4 linked regions of the Mus musculus genome follow. Each later gene encodes a partner of the first gene's protein in a complex. Links are inferred from orthologs where the notes say so. Each region holds a gene or a part of one and is shown in the gene's direction. Other genes may lie near its edges.

The links.
Region 2: Ccdc151 (region 1) and Efcab1 share a complex: the UniProt entries of both Homo sapiens proteins name them as parts of the outer dynein arm-docking complex. The link is inferred for Mus musculus from reciprocal best matches to the Homo sapiens genes ODAD3 and CLXN.
Region 3: the proteins of Ccdc151 (region 1) and Ccdc114 are in contact, whole or in part, in a cryo-EM structure (PDB 9CPB), measured with the Bos taurus proteins. The link is inferred for Mus musculus from reciprocal best matches to the Homo sapiens genes ODAD3 and ODAD1. Residues at the interface, in NP_001095517.1 of Bos taurus: Gln69, Leu73, Lys76, Ile77, Leu79, Leu80, Asp83, Arg84, Phe87, Tyr88, Thr91, Asn94, Ile95, Asn98, Gln99, Thr101, Ile102, Leu105, Arg106, Glu108, Thr109, Leu112, Gln113, Gln115, Leu116, Leu119, Gly122, Asp123, Val126, Ala129; in XP_024834988.1 of Bos taurus: Leu31, Gln32, Gln34, Cys35, Met38, Glu41, Arg42, Tyr45, Val49, Arg52, Ile53, Gln56, Leu57, Glu59, Ile60, Leu63, Glu64, Val66, Arg67, Leu70, Arg71, Gln73, Ile74, Ala77, Gln78, Asp86, Arg89, Leu90, Ser92, Met93.
Region 4: Ccdc151 (region 1) and Ttc25 share a complex: the UniProt entries of both Homo sapiens proteins name them as parts of the outer dynein arm-docking complex. The link is inferred for Mus musculus from reciprocal best matches to the Homo sapiens genes ODAD3 and ODAD4.

Annotation. Positions count from the first base shown.
Region 1 is NC_000075.6:21,991,658-21,996,621, reverse strand, and holds part of Ccdc151 (coiled-coil domain-containing protein 151), read left to right. Parts: intron 1-1,243; coding exon 1,244-1,414; intron 1,415-1,493; coding exon 1,494-1,595; intron 1,596-1,683; coding exon 1,684-1,809; intron 1,810-2,961; coding exon 2,962-3,084; intron 3,085-3,594; coding exon of another isoform or gene 3,595-3,597; coding exon 3,598-3,750; intron 3,751-4,613; coding exon 4,614-4,774; intron 4,775-4,857; coding exon 4,858-4,964. UniProt on the Homo sapiens protein: Component of the outer dynein arm-docking complex (ODA-DC) that mediates outer dynein arms (ODA) binding onto the doublet microtubule. Involved in mediating assembly of both ODAs and their axonemal docking complex onto ciliary microtubules.
Region 2 is NC_000082.6:14,904,114-14,909,873, forward strand, and holds the start of Efcab1 (EF-hand calcium-binding domain-containing protein 1), read left to right. Parts: upstream 1-2,532; 5' UTR 2,533-2,641; coding exon 2,642-2,699; intron 2,700-5,760. UniProt on the Homo sapiens protein: Component of the outer dynein arm-docking complex (ODA-DC) that mediates outer dynein arms (ODA) binding onto the doublet microtubule. Seems to regulate the assembly of both ODAs and their axonemal docking complex onto ciliary microtubules.
Region 3 is NC_000073.6:45,940,549-45,945,512, forward strand, and holds part of Ccdc114 (coiled-coil domain-containing protein 114), read left to right. Parts: intron 1-1,111; coding exon 1,112-1,299; intron 1,300-1,510; coding exon 1,511-1,645; coding exon of another isoform or gene 1,646-2,029; coding exon 2,030-2,112; intron 2,113-2,212; coding exon 2,213-2,381; intron 2,382-4,964. UniProt on the Homo sapiens protein: Component of the outer dynein arm-docking complex (ODA-DC) that mediates outer dynein arms (ODA) binding onto the doublet microtubule. Involved in mediating assembly of both ODAs and their axonemal docking complex onto ciliary microtubules.
Region 4 is NC_000077.6:100,543,587-100,549,260, forward strand, and holds the start of Ttc25 (tetratricopeptide repeat protein 25), read left to right. Parts: upstream 1-2,021; 5' UTR 2,022-2,214; coding exon 2,215-2,322; intron 2,323-5,674. UniProt on the Homo sapiens protein: Component of the outer dynein arm-docking complex (ODA-DC) that mediates outer dynein arms (ODA) binding onto the doublet microtubule. Plays an essential role for the assembly of ODA-DC and for the docking of ODA in ciliary axoneme.

The DNA of each region.
Region 1 (4,964 bases):
AATCTTTATGAGAGAGAGAGGGAGAGGGAGAGGGGGAGGGGGAGGGGGGAGGGGGAGGGGGAGGGGGAGGGAGAGGGAGAGGGAGAGGGAGAGAGAGAGAAGAAAGGGAAAGGAAAAGAAAACAAAAAAGAAAAAAGATCCTTAAAAAACAGAACAAACAAAAACCCCAGAGCTGGAGCAATGGCTCAGTGGTGTGGAGCACAGAGGACCTGGGTTTCAGTGCCAGCACCCACGTGGCTGCTTACAACTGTCCGTAACTCCAGCTGCAGGGAATCCAATGCCCTCTTCTGGCATCCTGGCACAGATACACAGGCAGACAAAACACCATTACACATAAAATTAAAAATGAAGTAAAAATATAAGTAATGTTATGGGAGTTGAACTAGGAACCTGGGGAGGGGCTCAGTCAGTGACTTTGTGTTTGCTGTGCAAGGGTGAGAACCTGAGTCCTATTTTCAGAACCTAAAATCTGAGTCTGGGAGCTAGAGAGACGGTTCAGTGGGTAAGAACACTGGCTATTCTTCCAGAACTCCTGAGTTCAATTCCCAGCAACCACATGGTGGCTCAGAACCATCTTTAGTGGAATTTGATGCCCTCTTCTGGCATAAAGGTATATATGCAGACAGAACACACACACATACACACACACACACACACACACACATACACACACAAAAATAATTTAAAGTCAGGCATGGTGGCATTTGCCCTTAATCTCAGCACTCTGGAGGCAGATCTCTGTGAGCTTGAGCCTAGCCTGGTCTAAAGAGTGAGTTCCAGGACAGCCAGGGCTACACAGAAAAACCCTGTCTTGAAAAACAAAAAACAAAACAAACAAAACTAATATGATCCCAACACCCAGGAGGTGGATGTAGAAAAATCAGAAGTTCATCTCTTGCTGCATACAGAGTTCAAAGCCAGCCTAGACTAGACTACATAAGACCATGTCTTTTAAAAATAAAAAGTAAAAGAGAAATGGGACTAGCTCACAGGTATAGCTTCTGCCCAACTGCGCAAGGCTCAAATTTTCCTATGGGCATGCACACACACACACACACACACACACACACACACACACACACGCTCACTCACTCACTCCGTTAGAAAAAAGAAAAGCATTGGATGCCAAGGGTTCTGGAAGTCAGGTAGGAGTCCGGAGAGACAAGGGCTTCCAAGAAAACAGCTACTCATGGACTTGGGATCCCGAGTGAGCTGAGAATCTGCTCTCCCTCATCCCCTGCAGCAGGCCCTGGAGCACCTGGAGCACCAGTTGAGGGAGAAGATGAACCAGCTGAATGCCTTGCGACACCAGGTAATACTGCGGCAGAAACGGCTGGAGGACCTGAGGCTGCAGCACAGCCTGCGCCAGCTGGAGATGGCAGAGGTCCAAGACAGCAACATGGAGGCTGCCAAGGTGGGGCTACTGAGGTCTGCGGGGGGTCTTGGGGAGGCACGAGGGGTGGCAGGAGGAACTTAACCCTGCTATCCCCTAGACCATGCGCAACCTGGAGAATCGGCTGGAGAAGGCCCGGATGAAGGCAGAGGAGGCAGAGCACATCACTAATGTGTACCTGCAGCTCAAGTCTTACCTCCAGGTGGGAACACTTTGTAGAGAGAGGTAGGTGACGGGGTGGACCTGACCAGGGACAGCAGTCACAAGCCTTGCCTCTCTCCACATGCCAGGAGGAGAGTCTCAACTTGGAGAGCCGGCTAGATTCCATGGAGGCTGAGGTGATGAACACCAAACATGAGGTTCAAGAGCTGAAAGTAGTGAATCAAGAGGCTATAAATGCCCGGGACATTGCCAAGGTACTAGCCTGCCTCCCCGGACGGTGGGGGGGGATCCTTCCCAGACGCCATGGTTTTATATGACTTTTCCTGGGAAGGTGGTATTTCCTAGTCCCACATAAAACACTGCCCACCGACAGGTGGGTAGATGCATGCTTTTAATCTCAGTGTTTGGAGGCCAAGGCAGGAGCTCAGTGAGTTCCAGGCCGGGGCAGCCAGGGACCACTCCACAAAGACCAACTTGGCTAGCACTAGGTTTGTTGGCTTCCTCGCACAACATGACTGAGGCACTACTGGCATGAAAGCCACATGCATCTCTAGGGTTCCGTTCATCAGTGTCACCTTAGTCTTACTTAGGGTTTCCATTGCTGTGAACCGACACCATGACCAAGGCAACTCTTCTGAAGGACACTTAATCAGGGCTGGCCTAAAGGTGCAGAGGTTCAGGCCATTATCATCAAGGCAGGAGCATGGCAGCATCCAGGCTGGCACGGTGCTGGAAGAAAAGCTGAGATTTCTACATCTTGTCCTGATGGCAACCAGGAGAAGACTGGCATCCTCAGGCAGCTAGAAGGAGGGTGTCAAAGCCCACCCCACAGTGACACACTTGATCCAACAAGGCCACACCTATTCCAACAAAACCACACCTCATAACAGTGCCAAGCAGTCAAACACATGAGCCTGTGGGGGCCAAACCTATTCACACCACCACGCCCATTCATTGTAACATGGGGAGGAGCCTTATGAATCTTGTTTCTTCTTTCTTTTGGCGGGGGGTGGTTTCGAGACAGGGTTTCTCTGTATAGCCCTGGCTGTCCTGGAACTCACTCTGAAGTTTCTTCAGAGAAGAAACTCAGCGGCCTCGAACTCAGAAATCTGCCTGCCTCTGCCTCCCAAGTGCTGGGATTAAAGGCGTGTACCACCACTGCCCAGTACGTGAATCTTGTTTCTTGAGCATTGTAAGTTTCATGAACTTCCTGAGCCTTAAGCCTCCTCCTTCCTCTACTGGGGAGTGTTTCAATTAAGAGAAAATAGTTCTGGAATACCAAGGGCTCAAGGGACCCTAGTCAGAATCTAATTCTCTTTAAGTCTTTCCTGGCAATCACATTGCTGTTGTGCCCGCTGCTCCTCTTATAGCCTGGATAGATATCAGGTGCCCTGTCTGTCCTCTAGAACCAGCTGCAGTATCTGGAGGAGTCTGCGATCAGAGATCGCAAGAAGCGCGAGCATTACATAACTGACTGCAAGAAGCGGGCAGAAGAGAAGAAACTTCAGACAGAGCGTATGGAGCGCAAGGTGTGCACATCTAAGGGTGTAGGGCTTTGCCAGCTCAAACCAGAGGGTCCCAGCCCTCACCTGGTACACACATCCTGACCTAGAGACTTCCCAACCATGCCAGTTGTCCTAACCCCAACCCCTCCCTTACTCTGCCCCCATTTGACCCAATGATTCCTCTCACAATCTCACCTCAGCCTCTTTCCTGGGATAGGCCGTGGCCTCCAGATCTGCCCTGGACTATCTGACCCTATACTCATCCTTCCCATTTAATTTAGGCCCTTTTGTTCTACATCTGAGTGGGGGGTCTAGCCCATCCCCTCCGGAGACTACTCCCTTCTACCATCCTGCCTTCTTACCCTGGTTCTGAAACCACCTATCTGACTCCTACCTGGACGCCTGTATCTAGTCCCAAGCCTTTGTCCTGTTCCCCACCATCTAAGCTAAGCGAGCTCCTCTCCTGGCCTCTGCCCCAAGGCCTTATCTAGAGCTGATTTTGACGGTGCCCTTGACTGTCCCCCACCCTCAAAGCAGACCCACCGAGACCACGTATTGCTGCAGTCAGAAGATACAATACAGGACCACCAGCGCCACAGGGAGGAGGAGCTGAGGCAGCGCTGGAGCATGTACCAGATGGAAGTGATGTTTGGCAAGGTCAAGGATGCCACTGGAGTAGCTGAATCGCATGTGAGTGCCTCGGGCTTGCACCAGGCAAGCAAAGGCTCCTCTCTGCTTAAAGGTGTCCTCTCCTGTCTGTTCCAGCTCCAGCTCCCGTAGAGCTGTCCACATTAGCCCTCGCTTACTTCCACTCCTCCCCTGAGCTGACTTCTTTGGTATGTCAGTCCTGGGTGTTTTATTTGTCAGGTTCTGTTTCTCAGACCATGGTGGAATCAGGGCCTGTTCTGTGCCCTACTTTTGGTAAGAGCGGCTTTGCTTTCCAAGACCTTGTGTGTCTCTGGTGCCTGTCCTGCTTCAGAACAGCACACACCCCCTGCCCCCAACCCACCCCAGTCAGTTTCTCCAGTTTAGGTTCTCTGCTGCTCCTCAAAGGGGTTAATCACCAGGAGGGCCAGGACTCTGACCTTTGTGATCAGCTGTCCAAGGTCCCTTTGCAGAAATGGGTCTAGAGCCGGTGAGATGGCTTGATGGGTAAACATGATTGCCCAAGCCTGGCAACCTGAGTGCCATCCCTGGGCCCCAAGCTGGAAAGTGAGCGCTTTCTGAAATCCACATGTGCACCTTGGCACATGCATATGCAAACGGCTGGGAGGGCTGATGGAGCTCTAGAGACACAATGTCTTTGCCCGATCTGAACTTGCTGGCACAGTCATTTTTGAATAGAGAATATTCACTGCTGTGCTGCCTTCCGCATGCAGATTTTAGCTGACTCAAATATAGGTGGGAAAGGGCATGGGGCAAAGTGCAGCCTTGGAGTAGTCGGGAGACTGACCCACACTATCCTCATACATTGTTGTGTGACAGAGAGAGGACCATAGTGTCCTCGGGGCCTCCCTTGTTCCAGGCTCTGACCAGGGATGTGTGGTCCGCAGGCGGTAGTGCGCAGGTTCCTGGCCCAGGATGAGACCTTCACACAGTTGGAGAATCTCAAGAAGGACAATGAACTGGCGTTGGCGAAGTTGAAGGAGGAGAAGCAGCGGCTCCAGAGGGAGCTGGAGAACCTCAAGTACTCGGGGGATGCTACGCTGGTGAGGTGAGGCTTCGGTGGCTGAGGGGAGGCTACGGGGACGCTGGAGTCAGCCATTGGCAGCTGCTGAACCTCCTGGCTCCCGGCAGCCAGCGGAGGCTCCACGAAGAGATGCAAAAGACATTCAAGAAGGAGGAGCAGCGTCACAATGATGTCCACGAGAGACTGGAGCACACCTCGCGAATCCTCCAGTTGG
Region 2 (5,760 bases), on another chromosome or scaffold:
GTCATCTCAATATCAATTACAGAATTCTATTCCTGCTACTTTTTGGATAGAAGAACTCAGGACATCCAGGTTTAGTAGTACTCTTGCTTTCTAACAGAATGTTTGACTACTCAAACCTCTCCCTGTTCTCCCAAAAGAAACATGTCCTTTTCCAAACCTGTTCTGGTTTGAACCTGAAATGCCCCCTCTGGCTTGTGATTTGAACACTCAGTTCTCAACTGTTTTGAAGGCTGGAGAGTAGCAACCCAAAGTTCCCACTGCTGCATCAGCCACAAGGGCTCCACCATGTCAGATGAAACCCTCTGAACAGTCTCGACAAAGAAACAGGAAAAAGAAAGAATGCAGTCTGAGCAAACCATGAGGAATTAGCCAGTAAGCAATACCCATCCATGACTTCTGCACAAGCTCCTGCCTCCAGGTTCCTGCCCTGCTTGAGTTCCTGTCCTGACTTTCTTCAATGATAGACTACAAATGTACCCTTTCCTCCCCTTTCCCCAAAGAAATAGAAAGGACTGAGTGAATAACTGTGAGGTGACAAACACCGTAACTAAAATGTAACAATTAGTGGAAGGAATCCATTCAGAAGAAGCTCAATGGAATTGTCAGCAACAGCTGTGGACGTTCTGGATATAATCAGGCAACAAATGATCCCTGACTTAAATCTCCTACCTCTGCAATAGCCAACTCAAAATTCATCATGAATTTAATTTATGGACTTAAAATGCAAAACCATATAGATTTAAAAAAAAATCCAATCTTGCCCAAGATGTGAGTGAATATTTGAGCAGACAGAATACATGGAAGATGCCATAACGGTGAAGACAGCCCTACTTGATCAGCTAAGGATGCAAGTTAAAACTCATGATGTCAACACATACCCATTAGAATGGTTGTGTTTGCTTTAAAAGCTGAACAAACAAAAACAGTGAGGGCACCAAGTACAGACAGCGATGAGGAGACACTAGGCTGTGGCCTCACAATGTTCAGACTCTCTGGAAAGCAATCTCACAATTTCTAAATTGCAATCATACAGCTGCCATATGTACTAGCAATCCTAGGTGCTCATTCCAGAGAACTTAACTCTCATTCATATGAGAAATGGTCTATAGTATCTTCCCTGTTAAGAGCTTAAAACTGAAGGCTGAAGGTCTTCAGTGCATGGGTGTATAAACAGAATATGGCACATATAAATCATGGAATACTATTCAGCAATAAAAAGGCAAAATTTCCTGGATGGATTTGCAGAAAATTATACTGATGGAAAGGACTCTCAGTAGGTTATATTCTGTGTGGCTGATGTCTTATTACCATTTCAAAATTATAAAATTAGACAATTATAAATTTGAGTGATTTCAAGAGACTAGGGAAGGGTTTTCAATAGAAGAACTAGGTGTGGCTGCAAACTGACCACTTGAAGGATTCCGCATCATGGAAAAATTCTCCAATTTGTCTCCATGGCAACTTCTGGGCTGTTATGTCAGTCTATGTAGTTTGGAAAGTTGTTACTGTTAGCATTTTATCTAGGCTCCGCCCCATAGTTACCTGGCAACAGCCAGGTGTGCCTGACTCACTATAAAAGGGGCTGCTTGCCCCCTCCTTTCTCTCTCTTGCCTTCTTGCTTCTGCTCTGTCCTCTTGTCCCTTACCCTCTTTCTCCCCATTCCCTTCCCCCTCTCTCTCCATGTGCTCATGGCCAATCTCTACTCCTCTCTTTCTCCTCTTCCTCCTCCTCCTCCTCCCCTCCTCCTCTTCCTTCTCCTCCTCCTTCCTCTCTTCTCTCTCTCTCTCTCTCTCTCTCTCTCTCTCTCTCTCTCTCTCTCTGCCTTTCTCTGCCTCTACAACCCTCGCAACTCCCCTCCTTATGCCCTAAATAAACTCTATTTTATACAAAACAACAAAAAGAGTATGTATCTTTAATTAACGAACTTAAAATATGACATTGGCCTTTTGCAAATTTGACTGAAAACTCCCACTCCAAAGAAGGAGGGGGGAGAGACAGAGAGAGAGACAGAGAGAGACAGAGACACAGAGAGATCTACTTTCTGAGTAACACAGTTCAAACCGTAATTGTTCAGATTCCCTTCTGATAATTGCTTTAATTACACACCTATTTCCCTCCAGCATCCCCACAGATCTTGAAAACCTGAATCGCTCTTGTGCTCATCATACAAAACATCTATCCAGCTTGCACACCTTACTCTTCTGATTATGATGTAGTCTTGAGGGGCTGTGAACAGAAATGATGGTGTGACAAGTGAAAATAGAAATTTCCAACATGGCAAACAATACAGTCTGCAAAGTGTCAGGCTGAAACGCTGCAACTGGGACTAAATGCAGGCACAGTGTCTGTGCTGGGCAGTCAGGACTGGCAGGCTTTACTGAGCTGACCAAGAGGCCCCCTGACAGGAGCCAATCAGTGTCCCACCCAGCCGTTGCCATGGCTGCTCTATGTACAGAGGCCGCTTTCACCTGAGGCGTTGCCATGGCCACACTGTCTGTTAGGGCCGCAAATGCGCAAATGCGCAAATGCGCAGAGCCAAGCTGGCTGCACCAAGCTCCCTCAGCCTGGGGCTCCGGAGCCGGAGCGTCCTGGCACTCTGCTCCAGATGACACTCTAAGATCTAATATTATTAACACCCATCATGAACAGAAAGAAGCTGCAGAAGTTGACGGACACCTTAACTAAAAATTGCAAGCACTGTAAGTAAGAACTGAATGCAAGAGTTCCTATGACTTCTGGGCCAGATCTCTTTCTACCCAGTCTCTACTTCCTGCTTCCACCAGTAATGGCCCCTCCACGCTCCTCCTCAAGAGGATCGGAAAGAGAATCCCTTTGTGGAGTTCCAACTCCTTGGGAGGCATCCATCCTACCCTTTTATAACTGGGACAAGTTCCAAGCTGCCCGAGCTCCCTCATAGACATTCACTAAATTCAAAGATCTCTTTATTTGCTTTTAAGTTAGAGAAGCAATATGGTGTGTATCTGGGAGGCATGTGGCTTCAGCTTTAGACAGGTTGAAAAGGATGCCCCAGAAAAACACCAGAATCAAGAAAGCAGCAGAGCCTTTACTTACTTTCTGGCTCTTTCTAGAGAGGAAAAAACAAAAACAACAAAAGAAAACAAAACGCTCTGAGGTCTAAGCTCTGGAAGTGTGATAAGAGATCCATAAAGAAAACAGTCGTGCATGCATCCTGAACACTTTTAAGAAAGAGACTTGCGGTGGTACAGACACTGTCTTCCGTAGAGGCATTTCATTGAAAAGTATATTGCTCAGCAAATCTAAGACGGTAAAGAATCTGTTCCCAGTTTTAGATGCTCAATTTCCAATTCCCAATCAGGTCCATAGGTAAAGGAGATCTTGCAGGTGACCACACATGAGAGCATTGTACTCAGACAGAAAAACAGCTGTTCTTGAGCTGAGAAGCAGTGTGTGGATCATTGAGATGAGGGCAGTATTGTTTGATGTGTGAATTTAGAAGCTATGTGATGGTCGAAGAGATACTGGTCACAATGAAAATGGAGAGGTCACATCTTCAAACCAGCTCCATTGTGTGAAGGTGTGGATGTGAACTTCTAATGTAGCTCTGGAGGTTTCTGGCCTAGCACCTTTATATCATTTGTATCTGATACAATGTGTGAGAATTGATGTCACGGGGGTAGTGCCCCAACTGAAAACTATGATATACTATTATACTGTGAGCATCTTAAAATTCTCAGAAAATGGCAGTCATTTAAGGTGTTTATAAATTTGATAAGAAATTGTGTTCTTTTGTGGTTTTCCTGAAATGCTTCCATTTCTGGGAGAATATATGCTATTTTGAAAATGAGTAAAAACATTTCCAATGAATACTCACAACATTAATAACTGGCACACACAATGTTTATTTGATTAAGTCTGCTTCATAAGTACACAATTCTTCACTAACAGTGACAACAACTCAAAAATAATGAAGTAAGGGTGTTTTCCCTATTTCCAAGAGCCATACACCGTCTAATACAAAATTCAATGCCAGGCTTGAGAAACCTCCAGTTGAGTTATTGACTAGGGGAATACAAGAGATTCCCAAGACAATATGGGCCTCAGCTGTTCCCTTTGTCTTCCAGAGCTTGAAAGTGAGATCCTATTGCTGAAGATGTCATACACTCAAGAGACAGAATTCCTAGAAATTGAGCTGGAGCTGGCCTGGAAACCTCCCTGAGGCCTAGCTCTTATATCTTAAAGTGTTGTGCAAGCGGCCAAGGGAGAGGAGCAACCAATCAGTGGACCTAGCCAGAGAAAGGCCCATGAGCCAGGAAAATGACTGGACAGGCACACGATCCACAGTGGTGGCACTTTTATCTTTCAAGTAACCACCAGCTGTTTAATTGGACATAGTAGGAGAGGCCTCATGTCTGGTACTATAAACCTAGCCAACTAACCATGGCTGGAAGGATCATGAACCTTAGACTAGAACCTACAATTGCCATTTTCCTAAACCAGTATAATTTCTAACTATATTCTAAATAATTACTCTTGTAGCCACAAATAAGTAGTTCTCACTCTGCATCAAGTAAGTCTCTTTTTTCAACAGTTAGTGACTATTTCAAAGATCTACAATGTGTCATGATACAAAGAATAAGGGACCATGAGGTACCTAAGCCCAATTGATAGATGTACAACACATCTATCAATCTCTGAGTCTTATTTCTAAGACTCAGAAAAAAATCAAAGAAGAGGGAGAAGAAAGATTTTAAGAGTCAGGAAACCAGGATGCTACTAGATAGCATTCCTAGACATGACCAGGAAAATGCCCTCTACTTAGTCTGGCTAAGGGTTTATCTATCTTGTTGACTTTCTCAAAGAATCAGCTTCTAGTTTTGTTGATTCTTTGCATAGTTCTTTTTATTTCTACTTGGTTGATTTCAGCCCTGAGTTTGATTATTCACTGCCTTCTACTCCTCTGGGTGTATTTGCTTCTTTTTTGTTCTACAGCTTTCATTTGTGCTTTCAAGCTGCTAGTGTTTGCTCTCTCCAGTTTCTTTTTGGAGGCACTCAGAGCTATGAGTTTTCTTCTTAGCACTGCTTTCATTGTGTCCCATATGTTTGGGTATGTTGTGGCTTCATTTTCATTAAAATCTAAAAAGTCTTCAATTTCTTTCTTTATTTCTTCCTTGACCGAGTTACCATTGAGTAGAGTGTTTTTCAGCCTCCACATGTATTGTGGGCTTTCTATCTATTCTTTTTGTTGTTATTGAAGACCAGCCTGAGTTTGTGATGATCTAATAGGATGCATGGGATTATGTCAATCTTCTTGTATCTGTTGAGGCCTATTTTGTGACTGATTATGTGGTCAGTTTTGGAGAAGGTACCATGAAGTGCTGAGAAGAAGGTGTACTCTTTAGTTTTAGGATAAAATGCTCTATAGATATTTGTTTCATAACTTCTGTTACATTCACAGTGTCTCTGTTTAGTTTCTGTTTCCATGATCTGTCCATTGATGAGACTGGTGCATTGAAATATCCCACTGTTATTGTGTGAGGTGCAATGTGTGCTTTAGGCTTTAGCAAAGTTTCTTTTATAAATGTGGGTGCCCTTGCATTTGGAGCATATATGTTCAGAATTGAGAGTTCATCTTGGTAGATTTTACCTTTGATGAGTATGAATTGTAACTCCTTATCTTTTTTGATAAGTTTAGATTGAAAGTCGATTTTATTTGATATTAGAGTGGCTACTCCAGCTTGTTTCTTCAGACCATTTGCTTGGAAAATTGTTTTCCAGCCT
Region 3 (4,964 bases), on another chromosome or scaffold:
TTCTGTGATTTCTCTCTCTTCTTGATCTTTTTTCTTGTACACTTATTTATTTTGTGTGTATGTGTCTGCATACATGCACGCATGCATGCTCACGTCATGCATGTGGAGGTCAGGATAACCTGCAGAGGTCAGCATTCTCCTGCCACCCCGTGGGATCTGCCACGTTGTCATGTCTGGTGGCAAACTCCTTTACCCGCTAAGCTATCTCCTTAGCCAAAGTCTGATCTCTTACCTTTGCCACCCTCCACCGCTCACCCCTACCACCTAGGTCCAGCTTCTCCACACCTTGGCTGGCTTTTGACCTCTGGCCATTTGTCTAGATGTACTTCTGTCTTTGGTGTCTTGTTTTCAACTTGCTCTCTAGTTCTAACTTCGAGGAAGGGAATCCGATTAGCTAGTAACTCTCTGCGGATGACATATCGGTGAGTTCATTGAGCCACCTGGGGTGAGCTGTCAGGTGGGGCACAGGGACAGGCTGGTTTCTGTTCTGGGAAGGTATGGCTTGACCAGCCCACAGGTTCTTGGGACTGGGCCTTGCTCTGGAGAGGCCATCTATGTTAGAGAATGACTAACTAGCCCTCAGGGGTGGCTCTGGGAGGAACCCCCCAGGGCAGGCAGAGATGAGATCAGGATTAGAATAGCCTAGGGCAGGGGCTCTTTGCCATTGACCCGTCAAAGCATCAGGCCCTTATTCCCAGCCAAGCAGGGCAGGCACATCATTCCTGCCTTCATGGGGTGTGCTTGAGTATGGAAAAGACCCAACTCCCCAGTCTTACTCATTTCTAGCTACAGACCATCCAACCTTCAGTGTCACCCAGGCTGTCCTTTCTGAGTCTGGGAATAATCTCTGGCAGGGCCTGACTACCTCCTTTGGCCCTCTGAGTAAATGATCAGATGATTCCTGGCCTCTGTGTACCCTGTGTGTCCACCAATCTTGTCATAGCTAGTCCTGATCCTGATCTAGGTCTTCCAGCCTAGAACTTTCTCTGCTCTTTGTGAGCATCCTTGGGAAGCCACCTGGCACCGTCCTTTTGTAGGCCCAGGCTGACCCCAGCTCAGTCACCCATCTTTTTTTTTTTTTTTTTTGACTTACATGCCCCTCCTGTCCCAGGGAAGAGGCCAAGACCAAGATGGGCATGCTTCAGGAGCGCGCAGAGAAGGAGCTGGCTCAGAGTGATACGGAGGCACAGATCTTGCTGCGACAGATATCGCATCTGGAGCAGCTGCATCGATTCCTTAAGCTCAAGAACGATGAACGACAACCGGATCCCCGTGTGGTGCAAAAGGCAGAACAGCGAGGTGAGGCCAGTGCTTGCACCGAGCACCTAACTCAGGGCCACTACAGCTATCATCATCCCTAGGCCCTCAGAGAGGGTGAAGCCCCTTAGGAGAAGGTGGGGCAAAGACTAGTAGAGCTGGTGAGCCGGCAGGGCAGAGCCTGTTGGAGAGCGGTGGGGAGTGGGGGCCTTATCCAGGATGCAAACCCTCAACTTCCCCCTGTTACCCATAGACTGGGAAGTGTCAGAAGGACTCCGAAAGACCTCCCAAGAGAAGCTAGTGCTGCGTTATGAGGACACTCTGGGCAAACTGGCCCAGCTGACCGGCGAGAGCGACCCTGACCTTTTGGTGGAGAAATACCTGGAGTGTGAGTGGGCAGAGTGGACGAGAGGAGGCGGGGCTACCCAGCACCACCCAAAGCACGGCACACTTGCCTTGCCCTGGGGATCCTGCCTTGTCTCCAGTTTTCATTCTGTTGCTTGGTGTGCCTCCCTTGCATCTGCCTCTGTTTCTTTCCATATGTCTCAGACTTCCTCTCTCCATATCTGTCCCTTGACCCTCTCTGTCTGTTTCCTTGGGCCTTCCCAAATCTTTTACCAACCCTGTCTTTCTCGGTGTGTTGGTGCCCTTCTGTGGCTGTTCCTGTTTCATCTGTCTCTGTTTTTCTGCCTTTGTTTCTGTCGCCTTGCAACCCTTAGTGATCCTTCTGTTTCTAACTCCATCCCTCTGGACCCCCCCTGCACACCCCCAGTGGAGGAACGCAACTTTGCTGAGTTTAACTTCATCAATGAGCAGAACTCCGAGATACACCACCTTCAGGAGGAGATCAAAGAGGTGAGCAAGGCCCACCCTCCTTACGCCGCCCCACCTCCCAGACTCCCATACCCTCTCCCCAGGCCTAGAGCGGACCCAGCTCCAGCCCCTGTCTCTGCAGATGCAGGAAGCCTTAGTCAGTGAGCATGCCAGTCAGGATAAACAGCGCATGCAGCAAGAGCAGCAGTGCAAAATGTTGCAGCAGGATGTGGACAAGATGTGTTCTGAGTCAGAGCAGCTGGAGGGTCGCTTCCAGGTGCTCCGAGGTCAGCTGGAAAAAATCAAGACTGGTAAGTCCCGCAAGGTTCCCTCTCCCAGCCGGAAGCTCTTCCTTAGGAAGGATGCAGTGGGCTTGTGGGGAGCTGGCCATGAAGGCATTACGCGTTTGCTACTCCGTCCTTCCCTTGTCTTTTGTCAGCCCATCTGGGGTGCACCTGTCCGTCCATCCATCCATCTGTCTGTTCGTGAATGTCATGTTGAGTCATAAGGCTAAGGTACTTTTATATTCACTAGAGAATGCTAATCAGCTCTCCAGAGCAAGTCCACATTTTCTTTTTTTTTTAACTTTTTTTTTTTTTTTTTTAAGATTTATTTATTCATTATATGTCAGTACACTGTAGCTGTCTTCAGACACTCCAGAAGAGGGAGTCAGATCTCATTACGGATGGTTGTGAGCCACCATGTGGTTGCTGGGATTTGAACTCTGGACCTTTGGAAGAGCAGTTGGGTGCTCTTACCCACTGAGCCATCTCACCAGCCCCACATTTTCTTTAAAAAGAACCATTTATTTTATGTATGAGTGCCCTATTTGCATGTACACCTGCATGCCAGAAGAGGGCAGCAGATCCCATTACAGATGGCTGTGAGCCACCAAGTTATTGCTGGGAATTGAACTCAGGACCTCTGGAAGAGCAGCCAGTGCTCTTAATCTCTGAGCTATCTCCCCAGCCCCCAATTTCTCTTTTCTTTTGTTTTCTTTCTCCTTTATCTCTTTCTCTCCCTTGCTTGCTTGCTTCCTTCCTTCCTTTCTTTCTTTTTTCTTTAGTTGTTGGTTTGTTGTTGTTGTTGTTGTTGTTTTGGTTTGTTTTTTTTTTTTTTTTGAGACAGGGTCTTATTATGTAGCGCTGGCTGTCTGAACTCACTCTGTAGACCAGGCTGGCCTCAAACTCACAGGGATTGGTCTGCCTCTGCTTCCCAAGTACTGGGGTTAGAGTTGTGGGTCACAATGGCAATTTCTCCTTTTATGCCTTTGTGTGCACATATGTGTGTCTCAGATGTAGCTGTGCCCACTCCCTAGTGTCTCCCCATCACATTCTGTTATCACTACAGCACTCACTCAATGTGGTTCCCAAGCTGTCAGTCTTTACTAAGATTGTCACCCTATTGTTATCTCTAAGACATTCCTGTTTGGCTTTGTGCTCTGTGTGTGTGTGTGTGTGTGTGTGTGTGTGTACACGAGTGTGCCATGGCACATATGTGGAGGTCAGAGGGCAACTTGTAGTAGTTGGTTCTCTCCTTTCCCCATATCTTGGGATCAAATTCAAGTTGTCAGGCTTGACAGCGAGGATCTCCACCTACTGAGCCGCCTTACCAACACATATTTTATTTACTTAAATAGTTGGGGAGAAAATAGTTGAACATCTTAAAAATTAGATTTATATTTTTTATGTAAGAATGGACTGCCTACATTGTATGTATTACATCATATGCTTGTGTGATGCTTGAAGACGTCAAAAGAGGGGATTGGATCCCCTGGAACTGGAGTTACAGATGGTTGGGAACCACCATGTAAGCGCTGGGAATTGAACCTGGGTCCTCTGCAAGAGCAACAAGTGCTCTTAACTGTCCATCTCTCCAGCCGCCATTTTTTAGTATTGAATTAGATTATTTTTCTTGTTCTGAGGTATAGGGATTGTTTTGATTCTGGAAATACTTTTTTTGTATGGTTGCATACTCTCCAACTTCTTGCATGAACTGAAATTTATCTAACGCTTGATACAACGTACTCAACTCCCTTTTGTAATTAGTTCTGGCTGTCTTTGCTACCTTGTGGGTCCTTCTTTCTTCCACCCTTCCAACCTCATAACACTAGGTAAGTGAGAAAAGGAAAGAGATGCCTGGATAAAGTCAGGGGTCAGAGCGGGGCACTATCGTTAGACTACTTCCTGCTCACTGGGCGTGTTGAATTCCTTGAGGCAGGCTTCATCTTTGCCATTAGGATATCTGCTCTGCTCTTGTTTCTTCTTTGTGCATGACGACTTAACAAATTGTGATCATCGGCAACCAACCCACAACCAAGAACCCACCAACCAACCACAGCCCACCCCACCTCTCAGGGCCCTAGCATGTATAGAGCGTCTGAAAAGACCCCAGCATTCCAAATGTCACAGATCACAGAAACTATCTGCAGCTGGCCAAACCCCAGCTGGCATAGTCAGCTGCTGTGGACAGTCTGAAGCATCCCCAAATCCCATACCTGGGATGAAGACGAAAACATATTCTTATAATATTTCTATGTATTTTAAAGAAACCAAAACTCCAAAATTGTCAGTACAATCAGTGGCTTTGTGGTATAAGAAGTCTTTACCTATTTGAGGTTGCAAAGGTATTTTTTACTAGAATTTTGTTTGGCTTCTGCCTTAGGGTTTTTATTGCTGTGAGGAAACACCATGACAAAAAATAAGTTGGGGAGGAAAGGGTTTATTCAGCTTCTACTTCTACATTGCTGTTCATTACCAAAGGAAGCCAGAGCAGGAACTCAAACAAGAGCAGGAACCTGGAGGCAGGAACTGCTGCAGAGGCCATGGAGGGATGTTGCTTACTGGCTTGCTTCCCCATAGCCTGCTCAGCCTGCTTGCTTCTAGAACCTAGAA
Region 4 (5,674 bases), on another chromosome or scaffold:
GCACCACCACGCCCGGCTAACCTTGTGTATTCTTGTTTGCTTGGTTTGTTTTCCTTTTGATATAAAGCCTTGCTAAGTGGTCCTGGCTATCCTTGAGCTCCAGGCTACCCTCTTTCTCTGTCCTGGGACTGTCTGTGTACACCACCATAACCATACCTGGCTTAGGTATTCCTTTGTCATTTCCCCCAATGGTAATCTTGAAAAACTTTTAAAAACTACAACAGGGCTGGAGAGATGGCTCAGCAGATAAGAGCACTGACTGCTCTTCCGAAGGTCCTGAGTTCAAATCCCAGCAACCACATGGTGGCTCACAACCATCTGTAATGAGATCTGATGCCCTCTTCTGGTGTGTCTGAAGACAGCTATAGTGTACTTAAAATACATAAAATAAATAAATCTTAAAAAATAACTACAATAGTCGGGCATTGGTGGCATTTGTCTTTAATCCCAGCACTTGGGAGACAGAGGCAGGCAGATTTCTGAGTTGGAGATCAGCCTGGTCTACAGAGTGAGTTCCAGGACAGCCAGGGCTACACAGAGAAACCCTGTCTCGAAAAACAAAACAAAACAAAACAAAAGAACAACAACATCAACAACCAACAAGGGTATTGGCACTAATGAAAGTCTCTGACTTTACCACATTTTCCCAAGTAATCAGTTATGGTGGCTTGAGACAGAGACTCCCCTGTTACTTGGGCTGGCCTTCACCTCACTATGTAACTGAGGCTGCCTTGAACTTGTGGCAATCCTGCTTCAGTCTCTCAAGTGCTAGAATTACAGATGTTGTGCTCATTTGTGTTTATACATTTGCCAGTAAGGACATCTTTTTTAGAGACTGAAAACGGTTTGCTTTGCTCCTACTGTGTGCTGGATTCTGTTCCTAATACATGCCCATTAAGCTGGATCCTGTTTCTGTTTTTGTGTTTGAAACTCGCTGTGTAGCCAGGGCTGGCCTGGAACTTGTTATGGAGACCAGAAAGCCTGTATCTCACAACCAACCTCCTACCTCTGTCTCTGGAGTAAGAAAATTAAAGACCCAGGCCACCAAGCCTGGCTCAGCTGAATTCTGGAAAGACAGTTTAAGACAAGATTCTGGGCTGGAGAGATGGCTCAGGGATTAAGAGCACTGGTGCTCTTGCAGAAGACCCAGGTTTAACTCCTAGCACCCAAGTGGTGGCTCAAAATCATGTATAACTCCAAGACTGTTTTAAAAAACCAATATAGTTGAGGCAGTTAACTGAGCTAGCTATCTAAGATATTATGGGTACTTAGAGGTACTGCTGTGTCTGTGTGGTGTGTGTGTGTGTGTGTGTGTGTGTGAACATGTGTGTGCTTGTGCACATGTGAATGTAGATGCCAGGGGACACTTCAGGAATGCATGTCTTTCTGTCTCTCCAGGGCTGGCTAATACAAGATGGTGCCATCACACTGGGCTGTACCAGGGTTGGGGGAACTGAAACAGAGAGCTGCATGCTTAGCATGCGCTTTACCAACTGAGTTATCCCCACAGCCATTACTCCTGAATGGCTGCAGAATTATGTCAGGCTAGACCTTAGTTTAGACTTGCTATTAGCAAGTGTTCCATAACTATGTGACATTGAAAGCTAAACCCATCACACTTTCCATTGCATTCTCATGCAAATCCTCACGTCCCTGAGGGCTCTATTATTTTCCTGTTCATTTGGCAGGTAGAACGCGTACTTTTCAGTTCCCTAATGTGCTTGGTCAAGGATCACGCAGCTAAGAAGTGACAAGAGAGAAGGCTGCCCAAGCCCTCTGACTCCGGTTCCAAAATTCTCTCTCCTTCCTAATGGGACCTGGAGTGCTTAAGCCTTAATCCTACTTGGAATTTTGCCTCCAATTCTCATTTTCTTGGCTTGCTTTGTCTGCGAGGCTTTCCACGTGGCAACTGGAGGGGAGAAGCAACCTACAAGCAAACAGCGATCACTCTGGAGCGCCAGCGTCCTGCAGCCGCCGGCCACGCGCTCAGCACTTGTCTGACCGGTGTGCGCAGCGTGGCGACACAGGCGCATGAGCACGCTGGGCGGGCTCACCCGGAGGCCTAACACCGCCAGGGGAGGGGAGGGGAGGGACCGGAAGTTAGACTATCTCTCTAGGTTGCTAAGAGACCGGGCTGTCCCAAAACAAGCCGGCGATTCTCCAGCCTCTTTTCCTTTCTGAATCTGCTTCAGAATTTCCAAAAGTAGGGTGACCATGTCGGACGGTGATATCTTAAGAAGCACTTTTCCCTCTTACATGGCAGAGGGGGAGAGGCTTTATCTGTGCGGGGAGTTCACTAAGGCCATTCAAAGCTTTACCAACGTGAGTTGCGCTTTGATCCTATTACTGTGTTGCCTTCCTCTTTTCCCCTCCTCCCTTTCCCTCTCTTCCTCCTCCCCTTCTTCTTTCCCTTCCCCTTCCTTCTCCTCTCCCCTCTTCTTTTTTTCTCTTCTTTCCTCTCTCAACCTCCTCCCCGCCTCCGCTCCTCTTTTGAGATAGACACTTGTTCTGTAGACCAGGGTGGTCTCGAACTACCCCTACTTCCTGAGAGATGACTTCCAATGTGCACCCTCATTCCCAACTTATGATTTGAAAGGAAGGTGCCCTCCTTATGTCCTCTGGAGGCCAACTCCCTATCTTGCAGTTGGCCTCTGGAATGATGGAACCCCAGCTTGCTACCTGGACCCACCACCATTGTGTTGTTGATGAAAGATTTGTGTGTATGTATACCACATGCATGCCTGGTACTTTTGGAAGCCAGAAGAGGGAACTGGATCCCTTGGAACTGGAGTTACAGGCAGTTATGTAGCACCAAATGGGTGCTGGGATCCAGATCTGGGTCCTCTACAGGAATAGTAAGTGCTGTTAACCAATAAATCAACACGATACCACCCCCCACCACACACACACACACACTTCACCACTTAAAGAAAAATATTTGTATGTGATGGGTGTTTTGCCAGCATGCATGGACCACATGCATACTTCCCTCTTAGAGTGTGGAAATGGACTGAGGGGTGTGAGCTGCCATGTAGGTGCTGGGACTTGAACCTGGGTCCTCTGGAAGAGCAGGCAGTCAGTCAGTTAGTGTTCTTAGCTGCTAAAAAATCTCCAGTCCCACCCAATTACCATTTTTTTTTCATCACCAGCAGCCCTGAGGTCCATTTTGTGGATATCATACTCCTGGTTCCCATGATATGCCACTGTCACACATAAACCCTGACTTTTGCCATTTTCTCTTATAGTTTCTCACTAATGCCTGCCAGTTGGAGACATAATGTGACCAATCATTAAATGTTTCATGATTACCTTTCTCTTGATAAATTCAGTCTCCCATCCTTAGCCACAGATTGCCCAAGAAGCTAAATGTAGAAGTCTTTGGCACAGGCTTGCCTGTAAGAAAGTTGTCGGTGAAGTTAGGGCGTACTGTAGTAACCTTATTGAAAATTACACCATTGTACCCTACAGGGATTGGGAGTCGTTTTAGGATATTAGACTCACTGCTCTAAGCAGTGTGTGTCCGTCTAGGATGTCGGGGAGCGGAAGGGGTTACTATTGTTTTCTTTGTATATATGAGGAAGTGAATATAAAAGTTAGGTAACATGCCCAAGGTCACTGCACTGAACTAGCTGGAGTAGTGGAGGAAGGATCCTGTGAGCCAAGCATTCAGACTCCAGTTGCCTGGGGTGCCAACCTCCAGACTGCAAGGTGTTCTGATAACCTTTTCCTTTGCAGGGCTGGAGACAGTGCTTAGCTGGGTAGAGTGTTTGCCTTGTGTGCATGAAGCCCTGGTTTGATCCTGCTTTTGAGTGTGTTGTCCCACACTTTCAGTCCCAGCAGCTGGCAGGTAGAGAGAGAGAAGGAACAGAGATTTAAGATCATCTATGGCTACTTAGCAAGGTCAGGGCCAGCGTGGAATACTGGAGATCCTGCCTCCAGAACAGAATAACCATTTCCTTTGCTAGAAACTATACTTTTCTTTTGGGGTGCTGGTGCTCCGACCCCACATGCTTGCCAGTTGCTCTTCTTCTGAGTAACATGAGGAGCCCATAGCCTCCTTCCTTCCTTCCTTCCTTCCTTCCTTCCTTCCTTCCTTCCTTCCTTCCTTTCTTCCTTCCTTCTTTCTTCCTTCCTTTCTCAAGACGGGACTTCTCTGTATAGCCCTGACCATCCTGGAATTTGCTCTGTAGACTGGGTTATTTCGAACTCAGAGATCCTCCCGCCTCTGCCTCCTCAGTACACACCTGAGAACTGAAGGCGTGCACCACCACACCCAGCTCTACTTGGCATAGCATCGGGGCATGGTGGTACTTGTAAATCCCAATATTCAGGGTGCTGAGACAGGAGGATTTTGAGTTTGGGGCTGGCCAGGGCTACATAGTGAGTTCAAGACACGCCTGAGCTAAACTGGCAAAACTGTTTCCAAAGAACCAAATTAAAGCAAACCCTTAAACGGAGTGTCAGCCCACTAACCAATCCCAAGACTTCCCTCAAGTCCAGCTTCTCTACCATCCCCCAATCTTTCACCTCTTTCCCTAGTCACAGCCTCTAAGAGAAATGACGACCTGATGGGCATATGGAGTTAGGAGTTCCGCCAGTTCCCCTCTCTCATGGAGCAATCTGGTCCTAGAGAAGCTGAGACAGAAAGTAAAGATGGCCCCAAGGGCAGGTTAGGAAGCCCTCCCATTCTAGGAAAGATAGCAGCTGCTTCCTCTTCCTAGAAAAGAAGGAAGGTCTTAGAGAGGGCAGACTTGGTCTGACGCCTAGGGGATCACGTCTGTCTTTCCTGGCACCAGTTTCTAGTGCAGAGCCACCTTCCCTTGGGGCAATGTTCTCTTCTGTCTTGGTTACCCCTGGACCAGGGCAGACATTCACCACAGCTGTAACAATCTCAGTCCGAAGGGGACAGGACATAGCTGGATGTGATGACTCTGCTTGTCGTCCTAGCATTTAGGGGAGCTAAGGCAAGAAGATCAGGAGTACAGGGGCAGCCTCAGCTACATAATGTGTTTGAGGCCATCGTGGATTATGTGAGGCTCTGTCTCAAGAAATATACAGACAAAGATGGCACAGAGGAGAAAGGTACTTTTGGCCAAGTCTGATTGGCTGAAATTGAACCAAGTCTTATAAGTTGTTCTCTGAGCTGTACATGCACACTGTTGCATGCATAGAACCACATGGGCCAACACGCACACGAAATTAATTTTTAAAAAAAGAAAGGAAGGAAGGAAGATTTCGGGACATGGTGGGGGAGGTGTGTGTGTGTGTGAGAGAAGTGCCCATCCTTACACTAGGGCCTCCAGATGGCTTCTGTCTTCCTCACATCTGTGTCTTAGTTCCCCAAAATAGTGATAATTCTCAGTTTACTACATGAAGAAGGAGGAGGAGGAGGAGGGAGGGGAGGAGGAGGGAGGGGAGGAGGAGGAAGAATAAGATGGTGGAGATGGTGGCTCAAGCCAGGTGTGACAGCATACATCCATAATCCCGGCTACTCCAAAGACTGAAGAAGTGAAGAAATAAGAGGAGGGTGGGCATGGGTGGTACATACCTGAGCTTGGCAGAGTACTTGAGACCAACTTGGTCTATCTACATAGCAAGCTCCAGGCCAGTCAAGGCTACAGTTTGAAATTATATCTCCACACCAAACAACAACGAAACTCCAACAAACCAGAAA